2 linked regions of the Macaca fascicularis genome follow. The protein of the gene in region 2 interacts with the protein of the main gene of each other region in a pairwise test. Links are inferred from orthologs where the notes say so. Each region holds a gene or a part of one and is shown on either strand. Other genes may lie near its edges.

What was found.
Region 1: the proteins of APPL1 (region 2) and FSHR interact in a two-hybrid assay, tested with the Homo sapiens proteins (2 studies listed by BioGRID). The link is inferred for Macaca fascicularis from reciprocal best matches to the Homo sapiens genes APPL1 and FSHR.

The regions. Positions count from the first base shown.
Region 1 is NC_088387.1:73,032,467-73,044,907, forward strand, and holds part of FSHR (follicle-stimulating hormone receptor), read left to right. Parts: intron 1-7,227; coding exon 7,228-7,413; intron 7,414-11,908; coding exon 11,909-12,441. UniProt on the Homo sapiens protein: G protein-coupled receptor for follitropin, the follicle-stimulating hormone. Through cAMP production activates the downstream PI3K-AKT and ERK1/ERK2 signaling pathways.
Region 2 is NC_088376.1:120,332,161-120,344,601, reverse strand, and holds part of APPL1 (DCC-interacting protein 13-alpha), read right to left. Parts: intron 9,567-12,441; coding exon 9,420-9,566; intron 8,243-9,419; coding exon 8,160-8,242; intron 7,419-8,159; coding exon 7,260-7,418; intron 6,248-7,259; coding exon 6,059-6,247; intron 3,642-6,058; coding exon 3,599-3,641; intron 2,290-3,598; coding exon 2,233-2,289; intron 1-2,232. UniProt on the Homo sapiens protein: Multifunctional adapter protein that binds to various membrane receptors, nuclear factors and signaling proteins to regulate many processes, such as cell proliferation, immune response, endosomal trafficking and cell metabolism.

The sequences.
Region 1 (12,441 bases), on a different chromosome or scaffold from region 2:
AGCTATTTATGACAAACCCCCAGCCAATATCATACTGAGTGAGCAAAAGCTGGAAGCTTACTCTTTGAAAACCGGCCCAATATAAAGATGCCCTCTCATCACTCCTCTTCAACATAGTGTTGGAAGTTCTGGCCAGGACAATCAGGCAAGAGAAAGAAATAAAGGGTATTCAAATAGGAAGAGAGGAAGTCAAATTGTCTCTGTCTGCAGAGAGATGACATGATTGTATATTTAGAAAACCCCATCGTCTCTGCCCAAAATCTCCTTAAGCTGATAAACAACTTCAGCAAAGTCTCAGGATACAAAATCAATGTGCAAAAATCACAAGTATTCCTATACACCAACAATAGACAAACAGAGAGCCAAATCATGAGTGAACTACCATTCACAATTGCTACAGAAAGAATAAAAATACCTAGGAATACATCTTATAAGGGATGTGAAGGACCTCTTCAAGGAGAACTATGAACCACTGCTCAAGGAAATAAGAGAAGAGAGAATTTCTTAGGGGCATTGGCTCACATGAGTATGGAGGCTGAGGAGTCCATGATAGGCTATCTGCAATCTGGAGAACTAGGGAAGCTATAGCATGGCTTGGTCCAAACTTGAAAGCTTCAGAATCAGGGAGGCCATTGGTCTAACTCTCAGTCCAAGCAAGAGGTCTGACATGCCTGTGTCAATAAGGAGACAGACGTGCCTTGGGGAGTAAGCAGAATGATATATTGGATGGATTGACTTGAATGCAATCCAATGCTTAGGTGTTAGATTGGGAAGAGGCCTGAGAACCAGGGAAATTGATGGTAAAACTCTCAGTCTGAAGTCAAAGTCCTGAGAATCCAAGGGGGTTGGGGAGGGAAACTGGTACAAATCCCTGAGTCCAAAAGCCTGATAACCTGGAGTTCTGATGTCTAAGGGTAGGAGAAGAAGGGGGTCCCAGCTTCTGGGAGAGAGCATATCTTCCTTATTTAGCCCATGGATTCACATGCCAGTCTCTTCTGGAAATACTCTGAGACACCCAGACAGAGTGCTTTAACAACTATCTGAATATTCTTTAATCCCCTCAAGTTGACACTTAAAATTAATTATCATGGTCACAATAATGTACTCCCATGAAGATGTGAATAACTGAGGTCTTTTTTTGTTACTCCCCCCAACACCCATGTATATTTGCATCATAAAAATGGAGAGTGTTTTCATAAAGGAATTAAAATCAAACATCAGATTTTTAGGCCATGTGGAAGAACTGTAGCCAGCAAATAGACCTGTGTGTGTATGATAGAGTGTGCATGTTTTAAGAGAAGAGAGCAAAAAAGGGAATATACTGTAGGTAAGTCTCCAGCCAAGATCTGAACAAGATCTACTTACCCCATCTTTGTCCCTGGTAATATAAATTTCTATGGAATTTTCTAAATCCATGGAGATACTAGAGATATGTTGTATTTTCTGTCATTTCAAAATTTGGAAGTCTTGACAGGTTCCATGTTTGATCCCTTCAGACAGTAAGCTTTAAGTAAACACCTCCACAAAGACTTTTATTTCCCTGTCATCCAGGAACCACTTTTGCTTAAAAATTTGCTTTATTGAACTTTAAGTGACTTTGCCTCTTTCCTAACAAGAGCTCCCTCATCAGCATCCACCAATGAAAGATCTCAATCCCAGGACACTGACAAGATGCATTCGTCTCACAGCAGCAAAGTCATCATGTGCAAATGACAGCAGCACATATGTCTTCTAGCTGTGGTAAGAAGGAATTGAAAATAACAAGCTAGCTCCAGAACACCAAGCAATGGAAAGGCAATGAAGTTTACCAAGGAGGCTTCCCAATCTAACACCTAAACACTGGATTGCATTCAAATCAATCCATCCAGTGTATCATTCTGCTTACTCCCCAAGGCATGTCTGCCTCCTTGTTGACACTGCACAAGGTTGCTCCCTTTCTTGGTAACTTTGATATTCTCAGCCACACATACTTACCTGCTGCAGAGGCACCATTTTCCTGAGCTCACTTTAAGTCTAGATTTCTGGATTTCTCGGTCTGCCTTTCATTCATCTCCCCTTAGAATTAGCTCTTTTGTAAAATTTTTTCCAGCCTCTCATTTTTAGTACAATGGTGAGTCATGTCTGCTTTTGAGACAACTACTTACTGAATAGATTTCGTGAGCCCAAATCCATGCCAGAAATGATACAGAAGACAAAAGTCCCTTAATAATATCTGCTCTCAGGGCACTTGAAATCTGGCTGAGGAGACAAGCAAATATAAATGAAAAGACAATCATAGGAAACAATAGAAGACAAAACACAAGGTGCAAGATTCTGCAATTTGTGGAAGTCAGAGAATATCACAGTTGGCTGGGGTGATCTATTTCCTTTCCTAATCCTTCTCCAGTGTCACTCCCCAGTACATCTTCAAACAAAGCAATAAGTTTCTGGGTACTTACTACATGAAAGGCACTGCTGAGAATGCTACAGACTTCTACCTTCAAGGAGAGATAAAATACAAATAGTGCATAAAGCAAAAGATAGTCAGTGGTAAGAGAGGCAAAAAGTATACAGACTATATCCTATTGCACTCTTACTGGTTTTCAAGGAAAAATTATCTCTTCAACTGTTAAACATTATGGAGACCTCAATGGGGTTTGTTTTGGTTCTCTATTGCCTCATTAAAATTTAATGGCTTAAAACAACCATTCCATTTTGATCACAATTTTGTGTGTCAGACATTTGGATGGCGGGCCCTGATCCATGCAATGTCAGCTCGGGTGGCTGACTGGGGCCAGGGTGGGGGCCGGGAGGGGGGTCCACTTCCAAGTTGTCCCCATCACTTATGTGCCTCACACATCTGTGTTTATTGGGTGTGTTTGTGTGTGTGTGTGTCTGTGTTGTGTCTTCTCTAACTCTGTCCATACGGTTTCTCATTCTCCAGGACCTCTCTGCATGGTTTAGGCTTTTACCAATATGGCAGCCTTAGGGTATTCAGAGATTTTTCATGGCAGCTGAAGACTCTGTAAGACCAAGGAGAAGATGTCAGTGCTCTTAAAGACTAGATCTATAATGAATAGCAACATTTCTATCATATTCTTTTATCCAAAGACATCACAGTTCTGCCCAGATTCAAGGGGAGAACAAACAGACCCTCGATGGAAAAGTGTCAAAGAATTTGCAGTCATCTTTAATCCACCACAGAGTACATGAGATAACAGAATGATATTCTATGGAGTATAAAAATTTGTTTCTCTTTACAATCTTCAATTAATCCAATTTTTATGCTGTAAACCTAAGAGGGAGGCATAATTAAGAAAAATAATCTGCTTTGTATTGCTTATTTTGAAAAATGTGAAAAATGTTCAGGAGAGGCAATGATGGCCTTGGTCTAAATTGTTCCTAAAGGACTTCTAAAATGTTTTTTTCATCATGTTTCTTGGAGTGAGTCCTGCCTGAATTGTTATAGACAAAACAGGGAGTTGAGTCTCAGCCTTTGTTCTTTCCACATTTGAGAAAAAAAGAGGAACCCAAATGCCAGATAAGAACTTGGTCACAGAAAACAGGGCAAGTGTCATTAACAGAACTGGCTAGAAGAGGGGTTGCCAAAAGAGAGGAACAAGATCTCCTGCAGCCAATAAAAAAGTTGGAAATCTCTAAAACAATAGGAAGTATAAATGGAGAGAAGGCAGAGACAGCAGCAGACAGCAAAGATTCATCACAGACACAAGGGTTCATGGACCAGACTCTGATCTCCAGGGACCCCAAATCTGAAGAATCATAATAGGGAGGGAGCTAGACAAGATGCCCTGGACCACCAGAATGTTTACCTTGTGGTGATAGCAATGAGTGTTGTGAGAAGTAATTAGATTCCAGATGTATGTGGTATATAAAGTCAAGAAGTGTTTCTGAGAATTTTGATGTAGGGTATGAGAGAAAGAAAGGAGTCAAGGTAGGCATCAAAGTTTTTGCATGAACAACTGGAAAGGTGGAACAGATTTTCAGAAAAGATCAGGAAGGCCATTTTTATTATCCAAAGTCTGACCTGCCTATTAGACAACTAAGTGAAGATAAGGAGGCAAGTAAATATGAGTCTGGATTTCAAGAAAAAGAAGCAACCTAGAAATACAAATTTTAGAGCCATCAGCATATAAGTTGTATTTATGTCATAAGACTGGATGAGCTCACCTGCAGAATAAGTGAAGATGGAGAAAAGAAGTCTGGGCACTGAGTTCATGGGCACTCCTCAAGTTGGAGGTCACGGAGGAACCAGCAAATAAGAAGAAACTTCCAAGGAGTTAGGAGACAAGTATTACTAGATATACAGAAAATTGCCAGGAAGGTATAAAATTTCTAGATTTGTATGAGCCTTAAGAAGTCATCAAACATACATAGAGCAAAAATTGACAAAACTAGAAGTATAGGAATCCAAAATCATAGTTGGAGATTTTAATATAATTTTCTCAGTAGTGACAGAACAAAGCAAAAAAATCATTAAGTATATAGGAGATTTGATCTAATTAACAGCTAACAAAGAGGGGACTATGTGTAAAATACACACACATACAAATACACACACACGTAACATAAAGGTAATTGTTCTGAAAATGTAAATCTTCCTGAATATCAAACAGGGGATCAGCAGTCCAGAGACTGGCAATAGTAACCACTACTAACTCTAGGACTTGAGGAACAAATGAGGAAGTCATCTTACTGATGTCCAGAAACTGGGGCAACTAGTAGAAGCTGGATCCTCCAAGGATCTGTTCAACGAGAGGTGGAGTCACGGAGAAGACTCCGTTGCTGCCTGAGACAGAGGAGGGATGAGATATGCTCTTTTACCTACCCTCCAATCTCCTGCTAGTGCCATTTGCTAAACCCAATTGAAAGCTGATTGGTAAGGTGGTACCTGGGAAATGGAACTGCAGGGATCATCCCTCCTAAGAAGAGCATAGAGAAGGGCATGACATGGATGTGAGAGACAACAGGCAAATGATCAACACACTGTATACAATGTCTTGTTCTTCATCCTAAGAGCAATGGGGAATCATTAAAGGGTAATCTCATAGGCATTTTTTACATCTGCAGTACTAAGATTGCAATAGATGTTCATAAGGACAGTTATGAGACCAATGCATTTGTCTAGGCAGAGATTGTGGTGACTTAGACCAAAAGTAACAGAAGAAGAGGGAAGTAGGCTGATTTGAAACACGTTTAAAAGTTAGGCTTGAAAGAACAAGACACCGATGTCGATGAGAGAGTCAAGGATGGCACCCAGGTTTCCATTATGAAAAACAGGGGAAATTGGAAGGGTCATTTGCTGAGATGGAGAAAACAAGGAAGAACATATTTACAAGAAAGATGGTAAGTTCAGTTTTGATGCAAGTCATCAAAATGGTGGAGTTCAAAAAACAACTGATTATCTGGACCTGGAGTTCAGGAGTAGGATCTGAATAGGGATACACATTTTGGAAGCCATCAGCACATGCCTGGTATGTGAAACTAAGGGAATGAAAGAGATCACCTGAAAAGATTGGGTATAGTCAGAAGGGGTCTAGGTATAGAGAAATGCCAAAATTTAAACAACAGATAAAAGAGAAGTAAAACAAAACAAAAAAAAAATCAGAAAGAAGTCAACGGAGATGTCAGAGGAAAATATGTTGAGTAGAATATAATGCCAAGAAAGAGAGTATCTCAGAAAGAAGGAGCATTCTACCTGTGAAATGTAACTACAAAATAAAGGAGATCAGAACTAAGACATGGCCTTAGTGAATATTATTTCCCCAGAGGCTAAAGAGAAACTCAATTGAATTGTGAGATGAGGAAATAGTGACATCAAGTATAAACAACTAGTATAAATGTGCTTGGGAAATGGAAGTGACAAATAAGGCAGTAGTTAGGGATGGGTTTCACTGGACAATAGGAAGGCATTATAAATTTTTGAGCAAGATAATTATACAATGAAAACAAGACTTTGAAAATGTAATTTTCACCAGATTGTGAGAGCATATGGGGTAGCAAATATATATTCACACCCCCAAGTTTCATTACTCTGAGTGTCTACTGCTTTGATTTACAGGGAATGCCAACATTAAAGATTCTTCTTCCTCAAGTATATACAAGGGTCCCCAAGGGTGCTGAAATGAACTCATCCTGGTCATCACTTGCTACCACCCCCATCAGAAGCACCCACTCATGGCCAAGCTGTTGGCCCCAACAGGTCCAAGCTGGTGCCATTTAAATCTCCTTGTTCTCACCAGCCAGTCTTGGTTTTGAAGTTTGCAACTACCAGTGGTGCTGCCAGAAAAGCACCCACATCACTGGTGCTGCTGCCAGGAAGGATGGAACTTGCAGCCCATCAGGGGCAGAGACCTGGTTAAACTGGTCATTTGTGCTGAGGTCTACTGGACAGAGACTTTCCTACCAAACAAGAATAACTGTCTCTCTCTCTCTTTCTGTCTGTGTTATATTTATGAAGAATAGTTGCCAGCCATTAAGTGTTTCTGTTGGTCAGGACATTCTTTATGTACTTTAACTCATCTAATTTTCACAACAACCCTCTGAAGTAGATAGGATTTTTGTCTTCCCATTTTACAGCTGAGGAAACTGAAACATGGAGAAGTGACATACTTGACCAAGGTCATAAATCTAACAGGCAGAGGGGCAAGGTAGATGTGCAGGCAGGTCTGCTGTAGATGCCAAGTTCGTAACCACCACTCTGCACTGCCACTTGGACTTTGTGCCAACACTGCCCCTACTGCCTGCCAGACTCTTCTTCCTCTTGTAGTATACTTCCTTCTTGTCCTTTTTCCTGAAATTTGGCCACAGATTCTACTCTAGCTCATCAGAAATATTTTTATAGCTAGTTTTATGGTACAGACAAATGGTCTCAATCCCTTAGTCCCATGCAAATTAGCAGGTACAAATAGACTGTAGAAGGGAAGGTGGCTAATTCTACTCACCAGCAACACTTACATCCCAAATTAGCCAGGATGTAAGTATATCCAGGAATCAGAATGGCCTATTATCTAACTCCTCCTACCAGGAACAGAAGGACCAGGACTCCTACAGAACCAAATGTCCCATTAGCCAAGTATTGATCTGGCCAAGGTGTGTTGGAAGAACTGGAGTCTCTCTCCTCATCCACGTAAGAATATCACTAGAGTGTCTGCTATTTTGCCTGCTAACCAAGAGCAAAAAATTTCAGGTCCATAGTAATCCTATTATATTTACCTTTTCTCTTTATAGAGATATTTCAAGAACAAGGATCCACTCCCTGCCTAGCTATGGCTTAGAAAATCTTAAGAAGCTGAGGGCCAGGTCGACTTACAACTTAAAAAAGCTTCCTAGTCTGGAAAAGCTTGTTGCCCTCATGGAAGCCAGCCTCACCTATCCCAGCCATTGCTGTGCCTTTGCAAACTGGAGACGGCAAATGTGAGTCTATCCTTTGAGCCCTGCTCAGGGATTTCCCCAATGTTGAACTTAGTCCATAATTTCTACATATCTGCGACATGAAGAGAATCTACTTGCAGAGAGTTCCCTGTCTCAAGCCCTTTGGCACATTTTGGGTCAAAAATTCAGTTTTGTGGAGAGTGAGGAATGGTTGCACTCTTTCATTTCTTTGAAAATGGGCTCACAGGACAGGGCTACCCATGGGGCAGAACATATACCAAGTACTAAATGAGAAAACATGAAAAATACTAAGCATAGTGCCTGACTCAGAGTTGGTGCATAATATCTGTTCCCTCTTACCCTTGTACCTTTATAGATTTAATGTTTCAAGTCCCAAACTCTGCACTTCATAAATGCCCCATCCATGTCATGTTTGGCAGGGAGATGCATAAATGCCATGCCAGAGACTGATGTACACATCTGCAGCACATCCCAATCACTCTAAGCCTCTCTAATCCACCTTGGAATCTTACTACCTCACAGGGAGGAGAAAGATTAAGACATCTCATTACTTTGGCTTTCAAAGAAAGCCAGGTTCAAGGAAGCCCAGACTTAAAGAGGATGATCTAAACAGAGACAAGTCCTAGTACCTAACTGGTTAAAAAACTGAGGTAATCATAGAAAGGATCTGGAGAGAGTAAACAGAAAGTCGCCTTGGAGATTGTATGCACGCCCCAGACATTTAAACGATGCATTGGAGGTAAGAATTTACTTAGTATGAAAGTTCTAAAAGCTCTCACTCTCCTCTGAGCTCACCTACATAAGCCACACCATGTAGTTGCACTCAAAATGTTTTCCAAGTAGCTGGGAGTCTCTCCTCAGACCCTTCTGAAGGATTTGTAGAAAAATAGCTGTTTTTCAGAATCTGCATGCATCACTGGGATATTATCCAGAATGGGCACACTTCATAGATGAGCTCAAGAGCCAGGAAATTTCTCCCTGACACCCAGAATTCTTAAGGTCCTGGGCTGAAGCAGTGGCTTGCCTCTTTTATATTCCACGTAAGAATTATTCTATCCAGAGTGAGAAAGATACCAATTTTGCACCAAGTCCCTGGAACTGAATACCCCGAAGGAGAAATAAAGAACATTAAGATTGGCCAGGCGAGGTGGCTCACACCCGTAATCCCAGCACTTTGGGAGGCCAAGGCGGAACAACTCCTTGAGCCCAGGAGTTTGAGACCAACCTGGGTAATGTGGTGGGACCTCGTCTCTACAAAAAAATGAAGAAAATTAGCCATGTGTGGTGGCACATGCCTGTAGGCTTAGCTACTCGGGAGGCTGAAGTGGGAGGATTGCTTGAGCCCAGGTGGTTGAGGCTGCAGTGAGCCATCATCGTGCTACTGTACTCCAGCCTGGGCAGCAGAGTGAGACCCTGTCTTTAAAAAAAAGAAGAAAATGTTAAGATCACTGTGAGAGCAGCTTGCAGTGTGCTATTTGGCCCAGTTCCAACACACCCCAATAATTTGTTATCTCATCGTATTACTCAGACTCCTCTAGACATAGCCTCAAGGCTCTCCCAATTGGCATCTCCACATCTGCCTTATATTGTCCCAGGACATGAGGTCTTCTCTGATCCCTCCAGACCACTCTGCTCTCATCCCTCTAGGTTGCTGCTGTAACTCACCATCCAGGCCTGTTGGGGTACAGCAAGGAGGGGAATGTGGTTCTTCCACAACGTGCCAAAATGGAGTAACAAAAATTGTGATAGATGGTTTTCGTTTTTTATTTTTAGCAATGGGTATTTGATTTTTGTATTCATCAAATTCACACACACAAACACCACAAAATAATTATGTTATTCAGAAGATATTTTCAGATTTATTCCTTTGATAGTATCATTTCATTGTATATCACAGTAGGTGTGGTTTAGTAGTGGGATTCAAGTTTTAACTTGTATGATGAAATTATTCTGATCCTCATTTGGAAATAATGCCCAGAGTATAAACATGAGGCCCCTGTGACTAAAACTTTGGCCAGTGGTCCTCCTGGACTCTTTCTGGGCTCTTCCCAAAAGTTCCTATCAACTACACTCTTCATTTGTCATTGAACCAGATATTTCCTTGTCATAATTCTGTATTCAGTTTGCATTACTTTACTCTCATTTTATTCTTCAATTTTTATTGTATTTAACAATACAAGTTGTTTCTTCACAACACAATGCTGTGAAGGCCATTTCTTCACGATTCAATATTAAATTGACATGCTGTGGCATATGCTTCTAAGTACCCACACAGGGCCTATACCTCCACAAGAATTCCATAAATAACCACCATTTGTCTTCGTACTGCTGACATTTGCCGAGTATTCACTGCCAAGCACTGTAATACTTTGTATCTTTATCTCATTTAATTTCCACAAAGGTAACATGATTATTATTCGTTTCTCACAGAGACAGAAACTGAGGCTCAGAGATACTAAATAACCTGACCTACACTGACCAAACAAATCCAGATCTGCTCTGCCTGCCTCCAAAGCTCAGGCTCTGGGACACTGCTACACCACCCGCAAGCATCTGTTCACTGACTGATCAGAGTCCAAGAGTGCCACTTTTTAAACTGGCCCTAAACTGAATTTCCAAATCCTTATGATAGTTAGGATTTTCCAAAGTACTGTGGAGGCAAGGTTTGATGTCCCTCGGTTTCCACTTTTGTTTCTGTTCTTATCTCAGAGACATAAGTTATTTACTTTTCTCCTTACTTCATGTCAGTGGGTCACTTCTGTTTCAGAAAAGGGAAGCACAATATTTAAAATATGTGGACAGCAGCAACAACAATAAGAATCTTCACAGACGCCAACCATAAGTCCCAGGAAGTGAAGCCTGTTTCTAGAGAGTTAAGTAAGATCTCAATCCAATGAACCACACTGCAGTCAGCAAGTACCAGGTTACTTACTTTCTCTTCCTGGAATCAGGCTGCAGCTAGTTCATAACAGGGTTTAAGAGTTGGGAATTAGACTAAGGACCACAAGATAACCCTCTTATGCCCTCTACGCCCATTATGGAGCTTGCCTCACCTTCCTTGGAAGACCACTGACTAAATCAAAACATTTTCTGGGCTCTGTTTCCATTGACTTTCAATTCTGTATATGTTCATCATTGAGCCTTAAACAAACAAAAAGAATCCCTTAGGCCAAGGGAAAATGACTTCCTGGCAATTCAATTCACTTCCCAGGGGTGAGAGAAGAGAGGATGGGGAGAGATGGGGAAAAGTTCAGTCCATGTATAATAGGTTGGAACACCTGGTGAGACTCATCCTTTAGCATCAAATGGAGTCTTTACCTCCTCCACTCCCCTAGCCACTTCTTTCCTCCTTATGAGGGTTTTAATATTCACTTCCCCGCTTATATCTGAGGTGATGTCAAGGTTTAATAAAAATACAGTCAACTTAATATAGATGTGAACTTGCCCCTTGGGGAAGGAGGGAAAGGTATGCCTGTGTATGTGTGATTTTTTTTTTCATCCAAAAATGTCCCAATGTAAGGGTTATTCCCATTCCATAAGCCTTTACTTCCAAACTGAAATATTACCTTCCATGTCTCTACATCCAGAGTATTGATAGACTACTCTGGGGTAGAATATTTATAGGTATACTCATGGATTGAATATTTATCACCTGGATTTCATTCAAATCCCTCTGTAAGTACCTCTATGCTGTTCACAAGGCCCCTTGTACATTTGTGTTTAAAGGGAAAACCAAGACAGCAAAGTGAGCCCAAGGAGACCTAGGCTGCCCCGAGGATGAGTTACATTCTTAGAATAAATTAGGTCCTTTTGCAACTTGCACTTGCTCTTTGGGGCACTCACTAGGAAACTAATATGAGACAGCCAGGCTTACCTTGCAGACAAACACATGTCTGAGGCCTATTGTGGCCCCCAGAAAGTGAGATAATAAAGAACAGGAAAGACCCTGGTAGCATTGCAGGCAAATTAGCTGGCCTCCTAATAGCCTGAGAACCAAAGAGCCAGGGAACAGGGGCTGGCTGGGAACTAACTAGATTTTGATCCCCTAATTTATGTAGATAAGAGAAGCAAATAAGTTCTCATTTGAGTGAGAGAACAGTCTGGATCTTCCAGTGATTTGAGTGTAGAAGAATAGGAATATCTCCTACTCAGGCATATTAAGAGATAGCTGGATCAAGATGAGAGAAGGAAAAGGGTAGAGTTGATACCAGGTCTGTAAATTATTTTCACTTAACAGCAAGGCTTAGTCTCAGGCGCCTTCCTCCCCACATTCAGGTTGTGGCAAGATGGTTTCCCCAGTGGGCCATCCAACTCTAGTAATATATATACAAGTTGTTATATTCATTTACAGTAAGCAGCATTAACCCTTGAGCTTAGCCTCAAGGGCAGATACGATGTGAGAAGAAACAAAAAATCTCGGGAGGAAACCCATCATTTCTACCCTGCACAAAGACAGTGATGTATTTGCTATTCTGGATCTGAGATGTTGATTCTATTTCTTTTTGTATTTTTCTAGTTCTGAGCTTCATCCAATTTGCAACAAATCTATTTTAAGGCAAGAAGTTGATTATACGACTCAGGCTAGGGGTCGGAGAGCCTCTCTGGCAGAAGACAATGAGCCCGGTTACAGCAGAGGATTTGACATGATGTACAGTGAGTTTGACTATGACTTATGCAATGAAGTGGCTGACGTGACCTGTTCCCCTAAGCCAGATGCATTCAACCCATGTGAAGATATCATGGGGTACAACATCCTCAGAGTCCTGATATGGTTTATCAGCATCCTGGCCATCACTGGGAACATCATAGTGCTGGTGATCCTAACTACCAGCCAATATAAACTCACGGTCCCCAGGTTCCTTATGTGCAACCTGGCCTTTGCTGATCTCTGCATTGGAATCTACCTGCTGCTTATTGCATCAGTTGATATCCACACCAAAAGCCAGTATCACAACTATGCCATTGACTGGCAAACTGGGGCAGGCTGTGATGCTGCTGGCTTTTTCACTGTGTTTGCCAGTGAGCTGTCAGTCTACACTCTGACAGCTA
Region 2 (12,441 bases):
TATTTATTTTTTTTTTTAGACAGAGTCTTGCTTTGTCACCCAGGCTGGAGTGCAGTGGCGTGATCTCGGCTCACTGCAAGCTCCACCTCCCGGGTTCACGCCATTCTCCTGCCTCAGCCTCCCGAGTAGCTGGGACTACAGGTGCTCACCGTGACGCACGGCTAATTTTTTGCATTTTTAGTAGAGACGGGGTTTCACCGTGTTAGCCAGGATGGTCTCGATTTCCTGACCTCGTGATCCGCCCGCCTCGGCCTCCCAAAGTGCTGGGATTACAGGTGTGAGCCACCACGCCTGGCCTAAACTCATAATTTATTGTATTAGACATAATTATAATACATTATATGTTACAGTATAATTACTAGTATTTTGGAGGTCATGAGATTTTGTTTCTATGGTTCAAAACTTCCTCCTAGGCATTTCTTAGCTGGCACCTCAAATTCATTAAGAAAAAAACAGAACTTTTCTTTCCCAAATTCCTCTTTTCTCTTGGGTTTAAAACCTGGAAGTCATCTTTACCTTATTCATCTCTTTCATCCTTCATATCAATCAGTTACTAAACTAGTCTAGCCCTCCCATCTAATCCACCATTACATCAACAGCAGATTACAATTTAGAAGAGTGAGAGCCTCCCAAAGAAATCAGCCCTCCCAGCCTCAGCTGAAATCATCAGCCAGGAGTTGCCTGGACTCTCTCTCACAGCACAGACAGGCCCACCAACAGTGGCAGAGGTCAGACAGCTCCTGTCCTAGAGTCAAGTCCTTTTCCAACTATGCTGCGGTACCCACTTGACTCCTTCAAGGATTCTCTGTACCCCTGTGTTCTACCTGTATGTTTGGACTGCACCTATGGCTGTATCTACACTTCAGAGTTCATCTGGTTTGATATCCTTACTACACAAAGTATAATTTGCAAAACTGGGAATTCACGCTGTATCACCCCAGACATACTGAATCATATTATGCATTTTAACAAGACCCCTAAGTGACTTGTATGCACATTTCAGTTTTGTATTCTCTATGAAGAACCTTTAACTTGGCTGGGCATGGTGGCTCATGCCTGTAATCCCAGCACTTTGGGAGGCCAAGGCAGGTAGATCACCTGAAGTTGGAAGTTCGAGACCAGCCTGGCCAACATGGCAAAACGCTGTCTCTATTAAAAATACAAAAATTGGCTGGGCATGGTGGTGCAGGCCTGTAGTCCCAGCTACTCAAAAGGCTGAGGCAGGAGAATCGCTTGAACCTGGGAGGCGGAGGCTGCAGTGAGCTGAGATAGTGCCACTGCACTCCAGTCTGGGCGACACAGTAGGACTCTGTCTCCAAAAAAAAAAAAAAACAAAAATCTTTAATTATACTACAGTTTCATAAATTTGCCATTTCTGCATTTGTACTTATTCTCTTATCTGCACTGTGTCTTCTTTTCCTCAAAACACAAACAAATCCTACCCAACTCAAGTTTCCACCATTTCCACAGAGTTTTCTCTAAAGTCCACACTGATCTTAATATTCTCAAAACTATTCTCAAAACTTAAGCCTTTAGTCATCACCATATGCTTTCAATTACATCCTGTTTTATCTGAAATGTTACTTAAAGTTTTAGTTTTGTCTCTCCATACAGATAGGCTCCTAGAGGGCAGAGGCCATGGCTCAATTTTCTTCTGTATTTCCTTTCTTCATGGTGCTCAACACAGAGTTAAATAGTCAACACCCAATAAATATTTGTTGGTTGACTGAGCTGAGTATCTTTTGAAATAATTTATTGTTCTAGGAAGACCATTCATTACATATATGGCACATTAAAGCTACTCATTCAGGCCAGGCGCAGTGGTTCACACCTATAATCCCAGCACTCTGGGAGGCCAAGATGGCCAGATCACCTGAGGACAGGAGTTTGAGACCAGGCTGGCCAACATGACCAAATCCTGTCTCTACTAAAAATACAAAAATTAGCTGGGTGTGGTGGCACACACCTGTAATCTCAGCTACTGGGGAGGCTGAGGCAGGAGAATCATTTGAACCTGGGAGGTGGAGACTGCAGTGAACAAAGATAAGGCCACTGCACTCCAGTCTGGGCAACAGGGCGAGACTGTCTCCAAAAAAAAAAAAAAAAAATCTACCCATTCAAGGCCAAATTTAAAAATTACAGAACTTGAAAAATTATGAATTAATAAAAACATGTAAGCCACAAAATTACTCAATTTTGTTAGATCTGGGTAACATAAAATAAAAATATTACCTCTGGATTTTCACTTAAGTATATTTGTTTAGATATGTTGTTTATTGTACAGATCCACTGCAAGAGAAAAAAATAGAAAAATATAATTAATAATTTTTTTCTACAAAGCTTCTCTTGTAAAGGCAAATGTTCAATACTCAACTGCAACAGATGTTTCATTAGAAGTAATCCATTTATCTTCCTTATAAGAAAACATTTCATAAAGAGGGTGCGTATAAATATATATAAAAGAACATTCAACATTTTCATTATTTAAATATATGAAAACATTCAGTAGATTTATATAAGAATCTCAAGTTTAATTCACATAAGAAAATAAAAAATACAGCAATCATGTTAAATTATGCTTAATAATCTATATTTATCTTTTTATATCACTTCCCCTCCTAATCCCCACCAAACAAGACGGTGTGAACTCAGGTATCATAAACACAAATGCAAAAAAAACTTAAAAGACAAATATATTCTTGGCGAATATATTTTACATGCCTCCCTTCTGTCAAGTTTATAAATAATTAGCATAGAAAACAATCTCCACTCTACATCTTCTGCTTCACTCTCGAGGATTGAAGTGCCTGATGAGCCTCACTAATCTAAACAAATATTTTATTTGGTAAATTATGCAGAGAACAGAGACATTTGTGTGTGTTCCTCAGAGACCGAAAGCAAGTTTTAATATTACTCTTTTCCATAAGAAGTAAATAAAGGTAGATCTCTATAGCATTTCCAACTTTTATCTTTTACCAACACAATTATAATGCCAAATTAAAAGGCGAAAAATCAAGCTAAGATATATTTTCATGGAAGAATGTTTCTCAAGATAAAGGTTTGAAGCATCAATTATTGCTAATACCTTACCTTCCATATCTGATATAGTAGGAGTAAAAATGGAGTCAAAAAGAAAAGGCTCATGAGGAAGAACAGAGACTCCCAAATTTTTGTTTTTCTATCTTTCATTTCTCCAAGATTTTCAGCTTTAGTTGTTTCCTTGCCATGTCACATCTGCTGCCACTATGTTCTTAGTGCAGCAAATAGTGTCTCAAAGGATTGGTGAGAGAAGACAGTAAATTAAACTGTCACCTCATGATACTAACAGCCTGCCAGACAGCAACAGTCACAAGGTCATTTCTCAATCTGAGTCTTTAAAACAGCAGAGATGATCTCTAAGGTCCCTCCCTCTACAAAATTCTGTGAGAAACAAGAATATTGCTCAAGGACAATAGACCTTTACCAAAAAAAGAAAAAGAAAGATTTTTAATTAACTAGGATTTTCCAAAATTTCTACAATAAACATATTAATATATGTTTTGTCATCAGAGAAATATTTTTAAATGTCAATGAAGAAATGAACTAAGTAAAATCTTACCTCTTCATGATCTTTTTTACTCTCTGCTTGCAAAATTGAAGATCTGGAAGAGAAGAGACATTTGAGCCTCAACTGTTTAAAAAAGTATTTTCAACATAATCTGAGAGAACTTTTTAATCTTTAAAGGTAAAGGCATGTATAAAAACCAATCGGTATTAAAAGAACAAAAACAAAACACAACCAACAGTATCTTAGGAAAAGGAGACCACCAGAGGTATCAGGATGCAGACTTTAACAACTCTGACTTTGGCTACCTATCCCAAGATGTACCAAAAAGGAAACAGGTGCTGATCCTTAGAAGACAGACCATGACAAAGTTACATTTCAGTGAAGGCAATACATTTCAACTTATCATATATATTTCCTATATATTATGAACTTATCATATATATTTCAAATATGCATCAATGATCCTAATAGCAAAAACTTTACTTCATTATTTCTCCTTTAATATTAAATCAAATATTTCAATGTTAATCATTAACATATCATTAATTCACTTTTCTATAGATATAATATTAGAGTTAGAGAAAATAATAATTTTTACTAATTTTGCATCACACCAGGAATATGAAATGGGAAATCAGGTAAGCATTAAACAAAAAGTAAGTACTTATAGTAAGTAACATGTTAACAAGTGGGTAATTTTGATAAATGAATACAGTGATTCCCAATATCTAGTGGGATAAATCCACACAATATTGGCATTCATTGTATGTTTGTAGAAGGAATGTGAAATTAAACAACCATTTTGATAAAGGATAGTGAGCTATAATATTTTTTTTTTTTTTTTTTTTGAGACAAAGTCTCACTCTGTTGCCCAGGTTGGAAGGCAGTGGCGCGATCTCGGCTCACTGCAACCTCTGCCTCCTGGGTTCAAGCAATTCCCCCTGCGTCAGCCTCCCAAGTAGATAGGATTACAGGCACCTGCCACAATGCCCAGCTAATTTTTGTATTTTTAGTAGAGACTGGGTTTCACCATGTTGGCCAGGCTGGTCTCAAACTCCTGATCTCAGGTGATCCACCCACCTTGGCCTCCCAAAGAGCTGGGATTACAGGCGTGAGCCACCAAGCCTGGCCTATAGCATCTTTTTTTCAGGGGTAAAGGTCAAATTTATTTATTTGTATAATATCTTAATGTGCATAAATACAGGGGAAAAAAATGACTTTCAGGGAACCCAGAGGCTGCTCCTGATTATTAAATTAAGAAAGTTCAAAGGTTAAAAGCAGTATTTTAATTGAGTGGGGGAAAAATGGCAGATAGTCTAAACATTTATCATTAGGAAAATGTTTAAATTATAATGTATGTCCTTAAATAGATTATAGAATAGCCATTATAACATGTTTTTAATAGGTGGCTGCAAATCCAAATTACAGTATTTCTTCAACTATTTTAAAAATGTACTTAGGTTAAAAATTGGAAGGCAATGGACAAAAAAGTTAATTGTTGCTTTCGATTAATAAGACAGTAGAATTTTTTCATACTCCTTTTTAAACTTTCCATGCTTTTTGAAAATTTCTTTTAAATGCTACTTTAAAGATTCTCATTTAATGCAAAAGTAATAGAAGCTTGGGCGTGGTGGCCCAGGCCTATAATCCTAGCACTTTGGGAGGCTAGCGCAGGAAGACCACTTAGGTCCAGGAGTTGGAGACCAGCCTGGGCAACATGATGAGACATCTCTACAAAAAAAATTTTTTTTAATTGCCAGACATGGTGGCATGCACCTGTGATCCTAGCAACTTGGGATCCTGAGGTGGGAGGATCCCTTGAGCCCAGGAGGTTGGGGCTACAGTGAGCCATGTTCACACCACTGCATTCCAGCCAGGGAGACATAGTAAGACCCCACCTCAAAAAAAGGTAATAGAAATTTTTTTAAATGGTATTATAAACATTAATGGAAAAATAATCTGATCAGAAATATTTGATTAACATTTTAAAATAACACTGTTGTTAGCACCTACTGTATGTCAGTCATATTACATATGTTAGAATTTCTGTTCCTCACAACAATTTACGAAGTAGGGATTACAACCCCCCCCACTCACATTTTACATGAACAAAAATGGAGCTGAGAGGGGTTACAGACATTACTCTGCTGTCTGAGACCACAGAGTAAGTAATGGATCCAGAATTTGAACTTTCTGACTCCAGGTTTAGGACTCTTTCCATGAACTTGTTCTGTATTCCCCGATGCTACACAGGATTTTCAGTTCCAGTTCCCTAACATGAAATCACAGGTCTTTACTATATGACATTTCTTTGACAACCTCAAAATATCAACAAACCATTTAACCAAGTCAGAAACAAAAATTCAATATATTTCTACAAGATTAAAAAGCAATTTATCTTAATACATATGAACCTAAAATGTCCATAAAATTTCTAAACAAAAAGGAATTATCCCACATTTCAGAAGTTTAAAATATTATAGATAATTAGTAGTAGGAAAAAATACTAACTTTTTTCCATCGAAAGAGGTGATCTGAAAACAATATCGTCTGTCTTCACAGTCCACAGCCATCACTGAACAGTTGTCTATGTCCATGGCCAGGCCTCCTGCTACATCCCCACGGGCCTGACTCATTAAATTTCCACCCTGCGTGAAGTAAAACTGTCTGTCCCAGGTAGATGACACCAAGCCTGTTTTACTAAATGAAGAAAGCACATTCACTCTTTAATAACAACATACCTGAATCTCATCATCAGCTAGACACAAGATAAAGCATGTTACAAAGAACTGGCTTCCGAAAAGGCACCAAGATGCCAAGAAAATAAATATAAATATGCTTTCAGTCTCTAAAATAAATTCATGTATATTGACTCACTTTTGTGAATGTATATACAGTTTCCAAAACAAGGCTGGAAATTATCAAACTGTGGCTGTTATAATAACGATCCATAAAATACAGGTTATAGTTCAACTTCCAAGGGAGTAAATTCAAAACAATAGAATTTATTTTATTTCTAGGGTTAACCTGCTTCATCCTATCATCAGGTGAAAACTAACATTTGACTTGGTGCTATAATTACAAATATATTAAAGTATGATAAATGATATTTCGCAGCATTCTCATGTGATGATACCATATGTGAATATTTACTTAAACTCAAATTAGTTTCAGTTCATTTTTTTTTTTGAGACAAGAGTCTCACTCTGTCCCCTAGGCTAGAGTGCAGTGGCGCGATCTCAGGTCACCGCAACCTTTGCCTCCCAGGTTCAAGTGATTCTTGTGCCTCAGCCTCCTGAGTAGCTGGGATTACAGGCATAAGCCACCATGCTCGGCTAATTTTTGTATTTTTAGTAGAGGTGGGGCTCCACCATGTTGGCCAGGCTGGTCTCGAACTCCTGACCTCAGGTGATCCACCTGCCTTGGTCTCCCCCAAAGTGCTGGGATCACAGGTGTGAGCCACCACGCCCAGCCTTGGTTTCACTTCTTTTATCATTCTACATTATTCAATAAATAGCTAGGTAGGATTTTACTTCTGAAAAGTATTTACGTACCTCATCTGTCAAAAAGTTCACATAATACTAACACCTCTAAAAAGTTTCAACCTTTAATAAAAATCAAAACAATATGACAGACATCAATTATTTATTATATTCATTTGGTATTGTCTTACATGATATACAATATACAAAAATAACAATAGTTTTCTTACTTCCTAGCATTAAGGTATCCAGCCTTTCGGGTTAAATTTCGATTAACAGGAAATTTGGTGGGGTCTGGGTCAGGCACATATAAGGGATCACTGGCTACTTCCAAATCCTCTATTGTCTGTTGCATGGTCTCTATATCACTGTCCATTTCCCTGCGAACACTGATACAGAACAGATTATTTACTATAAATCACAATCAATGTAGAACTCCTTACTAATCATGTTTACCTGCATATTTGTTTTGGATATGTTTTCTTAAAGAGAGGAAATGTGGCATGCGTGGTTAAAACAACACAAATACATTTTAAAACAGGTTTACAGTTTATTTGAAACTTAGATATTTTGGAAACAATACTAAATTCAAAAAATGAATGAAGCCCCACTGAATCCCTGATTTTGGCATAATTTTCAAACTGCGCCTTTAAAACAGAGGTCCTGTGCCTTTAAAACAACAATCACTTTCATCTCTCTCCATACCGTGGACAGACCACATATATTGCTCAGCATTTTGAACCTGATGAGAACTGCTTTCTCTCTGTCTTTAAGCTTTCATGGCGTGGAAACAATATTTAGTAATCTCCCATTAAACTCCCACAATTTCAAGTTTAAAGATAATTTCACTTATGGGGAATTACTATTATGTGTCTGTTTTATTCAGACATAAAACTGAGTTTAGAATCAAATTATCACCATTAAGAAATTCGAAGTTCACAATCTATGGAAAAAAGAGGTAAAAAAAAAAAAAAAACAAGAAGTAACCATGAACCATATAAGAAACTCTCATGGCAGGGAAAATATTCACTCAGGAAATTAAATGATAAATATCTTTACATTATATCACTGAGCTGTTAAGCTATCATTCACATCATTTCATTTTCAATTTTAAGGAAAAAAATACTTACTTCTGAACGCTTGTTCCAATATTAGCTAAAAATTCTTCCAGTTGTTCATTAAGATTTTCAGAACCCATCTTAAAGAAACTTATCTGGAGAGCAGGGAGTCGGGGGAATTGAACAATACAAAAATACATTAAGCAATACTTAAAGTAAATCATATAAACAATCTCTAAGATACATGGTTAGGTAAAAAACAAAGGAATATTCCCATTTGTGTAAAAATACATTGTAGTTTGTGATTTCTACTGCACATGGAGCCATTAAGGAAGTTAGACTTAAATTCCACTACATATCCTTTTATATTTTTTGAATTGGAACAAGTAATACATATGTATGGTTAACAATCTTTTAAAATTGGAAAATAAATTTTAAAGTATTTCCAACAAATTATATAAAGTATTTCATGTTTACTACAAAGATAAGTTTTCTATCTGAGGAATAATCAGTAAAGTACTCTTTTACTTAAATAGATTCAATTTTTTGTTTTTTTTTGAGACAGGGTCTCGCTTTGTCATCCAGACTGCACAGTAACACCTCATTGCAGCCTCAGCCTCCTAGGCTCGAGGGATCCTTCCATCTCAGCCTCCCAAGTTGCTGGGACCATGGAGGCATGCTACCAAGCCCAACTAATTTTTTCAATTTTTGTAGAGATGGGGTCTCCCTACATTGCTAAGGCTAGTCTTAAACTCCTGGACTCAAGTGATTCTCCTACCTCGGCCCTACCAAAGTGCTTGATTATAGGCATGAGGCACCGCACCTGGCCTCAATTTTCTTTAAACTCTTAATTTTTAGGAGACTGACACTTTGTCTTATACTACCCAAAACAAATTTCTAGCCCCCTTCCTGATGTACCTTGGGGCACGCTGGAGTTCATCTATTATTTTTAACTCAGGAAGTATGCAAGGAATATGGGATAAACTCAAACCTGTTCATTCTCTTTCAGATCTATTATGAAGCAAGTGTTTAGTTGAAGCTCCAGCAATAGGTGTAACTCTGAAATTCATTTAGCTTTCTGTTCTCAGTCCCCAGCTACGGTGAACAAGTGGTTTCATTTACCCTAAAATATTTGAAATCTTCATTTGCAAGGAAAACCATTCTTCCTAACTTCCTTAAAATAACAGTCTGATGACATTTTTTAAAATTACTTCCACAGACATGAACAAGGATGTTGAAAATAGTTTATAAATCTTTATACTTAATGTAAATATCAAGCTTAATATAAAGCTTTTAGGACAGTTATAATCCAAAATACAGTACAGTATTTACCTGAGCTTGCATGTACCCAAGTAGAGGTTCTAACAATGCTATTTTCTTCTTGTACTGAAGAGTATTTAATGCACAAAAATAATGCATCATGGTCTGGTGTTGTTTCTTTCTGGACGTGTACACATCTTCTGTTACTTCATACTTCACCTTTGAATGAAAAGATTTAAATAATTAAGTAAATAATCTACTATTATTTACTTAATTTTGTATTATCTTCAGTAGGAGCTGTGGAGAAGAGCCCACCGAGGAAAAGGTGTATCACAAGCAATTGAGCATTGATGTTCCTGTTTCTGATCTTTTAGAAATCCTTCAACATACTGGTTAAGCGAATTTTCCTGTTTAACTTCCTTCCAACCACATAATTTACAAAATGCACATTGAGGCCAGGCGTGGTGGCTCATGCCTGTAATCCCAGCACTTTGGGAGGCCGAGGCAGGAAGATCACTTGAGGCCAGGAGTTTAAGAGCAGCCTGGTCAACATGGTAAAACCCTGTCTCTACTAAAAATGGAAAAAAATTAGCTGGGTGCGGTGGTACATGCCTGTAATTCCAGCTACTAGGGAGGCTGAGGCATGAGAATAGCTTCACCCTGGGAGGTGGAGGTTGCAGTGAGCCAAGATCACACAACTGTACTCCAACCTGGGCGACAGAGACTGTCTCAAAAAAAAAAAAAAAAAAAAAGGCATATTGAAAACAGAATTCTGTACATAACTAAGAATGGTACAGTAACTAAACTAAGCATGGCAGAGAAAGCTTACCACATGGAGGAAGGGCAGACAATTGTTTGTTATTAGGTTAGCCATTAGTCTTTGACTTTGATCAGTTCACAGCATACCAGTCTCCCCTCCTGGTTCTCTCCCTATCAGTCTTCCTCTCTTGTACTTGCTTGTCTTCCCTCACCCATACTTGAAATATGTGTGCTCCCTAGAGTTCTTTTATTCAGACAACATATATTTATTGAATACCTATTATGTAATAGGCATTATGTTCTTCTGTCTTCCTCCTTTCCTTAGAATCCTCAAGTACCAAGAATATTCTAATATTCCAATATATCAATGACTCACAAATTTTATCTCTTCCCTCTCACTCTCCCAAGTGACAGAGGAAACGCATCTCCAGCTGGGTTCTTTATGTGTGTTTATGTGCTACAAATGTACAAAACTGAAAATAGTTTTGTACACAAAACCTGTTCTTCTACTTTGTTTCTTAGCTCTCTTAATTACTACAGGATCCATCCAGACATCCAAGAAATCTAGGACTCATTTTTTATTCCTCCTATTACCACAAGACTTGTCAACTCATACTTAAGAAATATCTCTCGGCCGGGCGCGGTGGCTCAAGCCTGTAATCCCAGCACTTTGGGAGGCCGAGACGGGTGGATCACGAGGTCAGGAGATCGAGACCATCCTGGCTAACACAGTGAAACCTCGTCTCTACTAAAAAATACAAAAAAAACTAGCCGGGCGAGGTGGCGGGCGCCTGTAGTCCCAGCTACTCGGGAGGCTGAGGCAGGAGAATGGTGTAAACCCGGGAGGCGGAGCTTGCAGTGAGCTGAGATCCGGCCACTGCACTCCAGCCTGGGCAACAGAGCGAGACTCCGTCTCAAAAAAAAAAAAAAAAAAAAAGAAATATCTCTCAAAAGTACTCCTTCCTCTCCACTTTCAGTAACAACCTTAGCTGAGGCCTTCATTATATCTTTGCAAACTATTCCAATTCCTTTCATTGGATTCCCTCTACTCTTGTCCTCTTCACATTTTCATTAGTATGTTTGTTCTATAACACAACTGCATGATGTTATTCACCTACTTAGAATCCTTTGGCGGTTGTCCACTCCCTCTAACACAAATTTCAAGGTCATTAATATAGTAATCTGGTACCAATATACTTCTTACTCTTTCTGCCATATCTCCAAACATTTCCTTTACTGTCACAGAGTACTCCTAACCTTTACACTCTCCCAACTCCACCATGTGCCTCTGAAAGGCTGTTTTTCTTTCAGGAAAGCAATCTCCAATTCCAAACTAGTGTTATCCACTTATCTTCAATGTAAATGTCACCTTTTAAAAGTGTAACCTTTGCTGGCCGGGTACAGTGGCTCACACCTGTAATCCCAGCACTTTGGGAGGCTGAGGCGGGCGGATCACCTGAGGTCAGGAGTTTGAGACCAGCCTGGCCAACACGGTGAACACCCACCTCTACTAAAAATACAAAAATTAGCTGAGCATGGTGGCTCACACCTATAATCCCAGTTACTGGGGAGGCTGAGGCAGGAGAATCACCTGAACCCAGGAGGTGGAGGTTGCAGTGAGCCGAGACAGCACCACTGCACTCCTGCCTGGGAGTCAGAATGAGGCCCTGTCTCAAAAAAAAAAGTGTAACCTTTCCCAATTCACCAATCAAAGCTAACTGCTCCCCTCTCTGTGCTCTCTCCGCATTTTATTAAAACCCCTATTATTGTATTTAACTAATAACAGAGTTAATCCATGCCTTCTTGTCATCCTTGTACTCTGGTTCCTAGTCGACTTGCATGCCTTCACACAGGTAGCCTTCAATAAATGTGGAGTATCCAGTCTTTGAGGGCAGGAGTGAAGCCTATTCCCATTGTTCCCCCAAGGTACCCAACAGACTGTTTGACATATATTAGGTACTCAATGAATTTTTAAATAAAATGAAGTTGGTGAAAAAGTGTTTTTTAAAATACTTTGAACAGCCAGAAGTAATGTAAAATATATCAAATTTTATACCTAGAGCCTTTGACTACTTCTCTAAGGCCAAGTGACTATTAGAGATCTTAAAATGTATACATTTTATCAATACACCATTAAGTAGTAGTCTGCAGCGAAAATTAGAAAACGAAAAGGAAATCAATCTTCATACTAAACTTTGTGTGAGAAACATTTCCTTTGTCACAGTAGCTGTTGCACAGTAAATTGTACCCAACTATGGATTCCCACAAGCAGTCACTGTGTTTCCAACAGCAGCTGCAGCCAAGGCTACAGACACCAACACCCAGGCACAGAGAT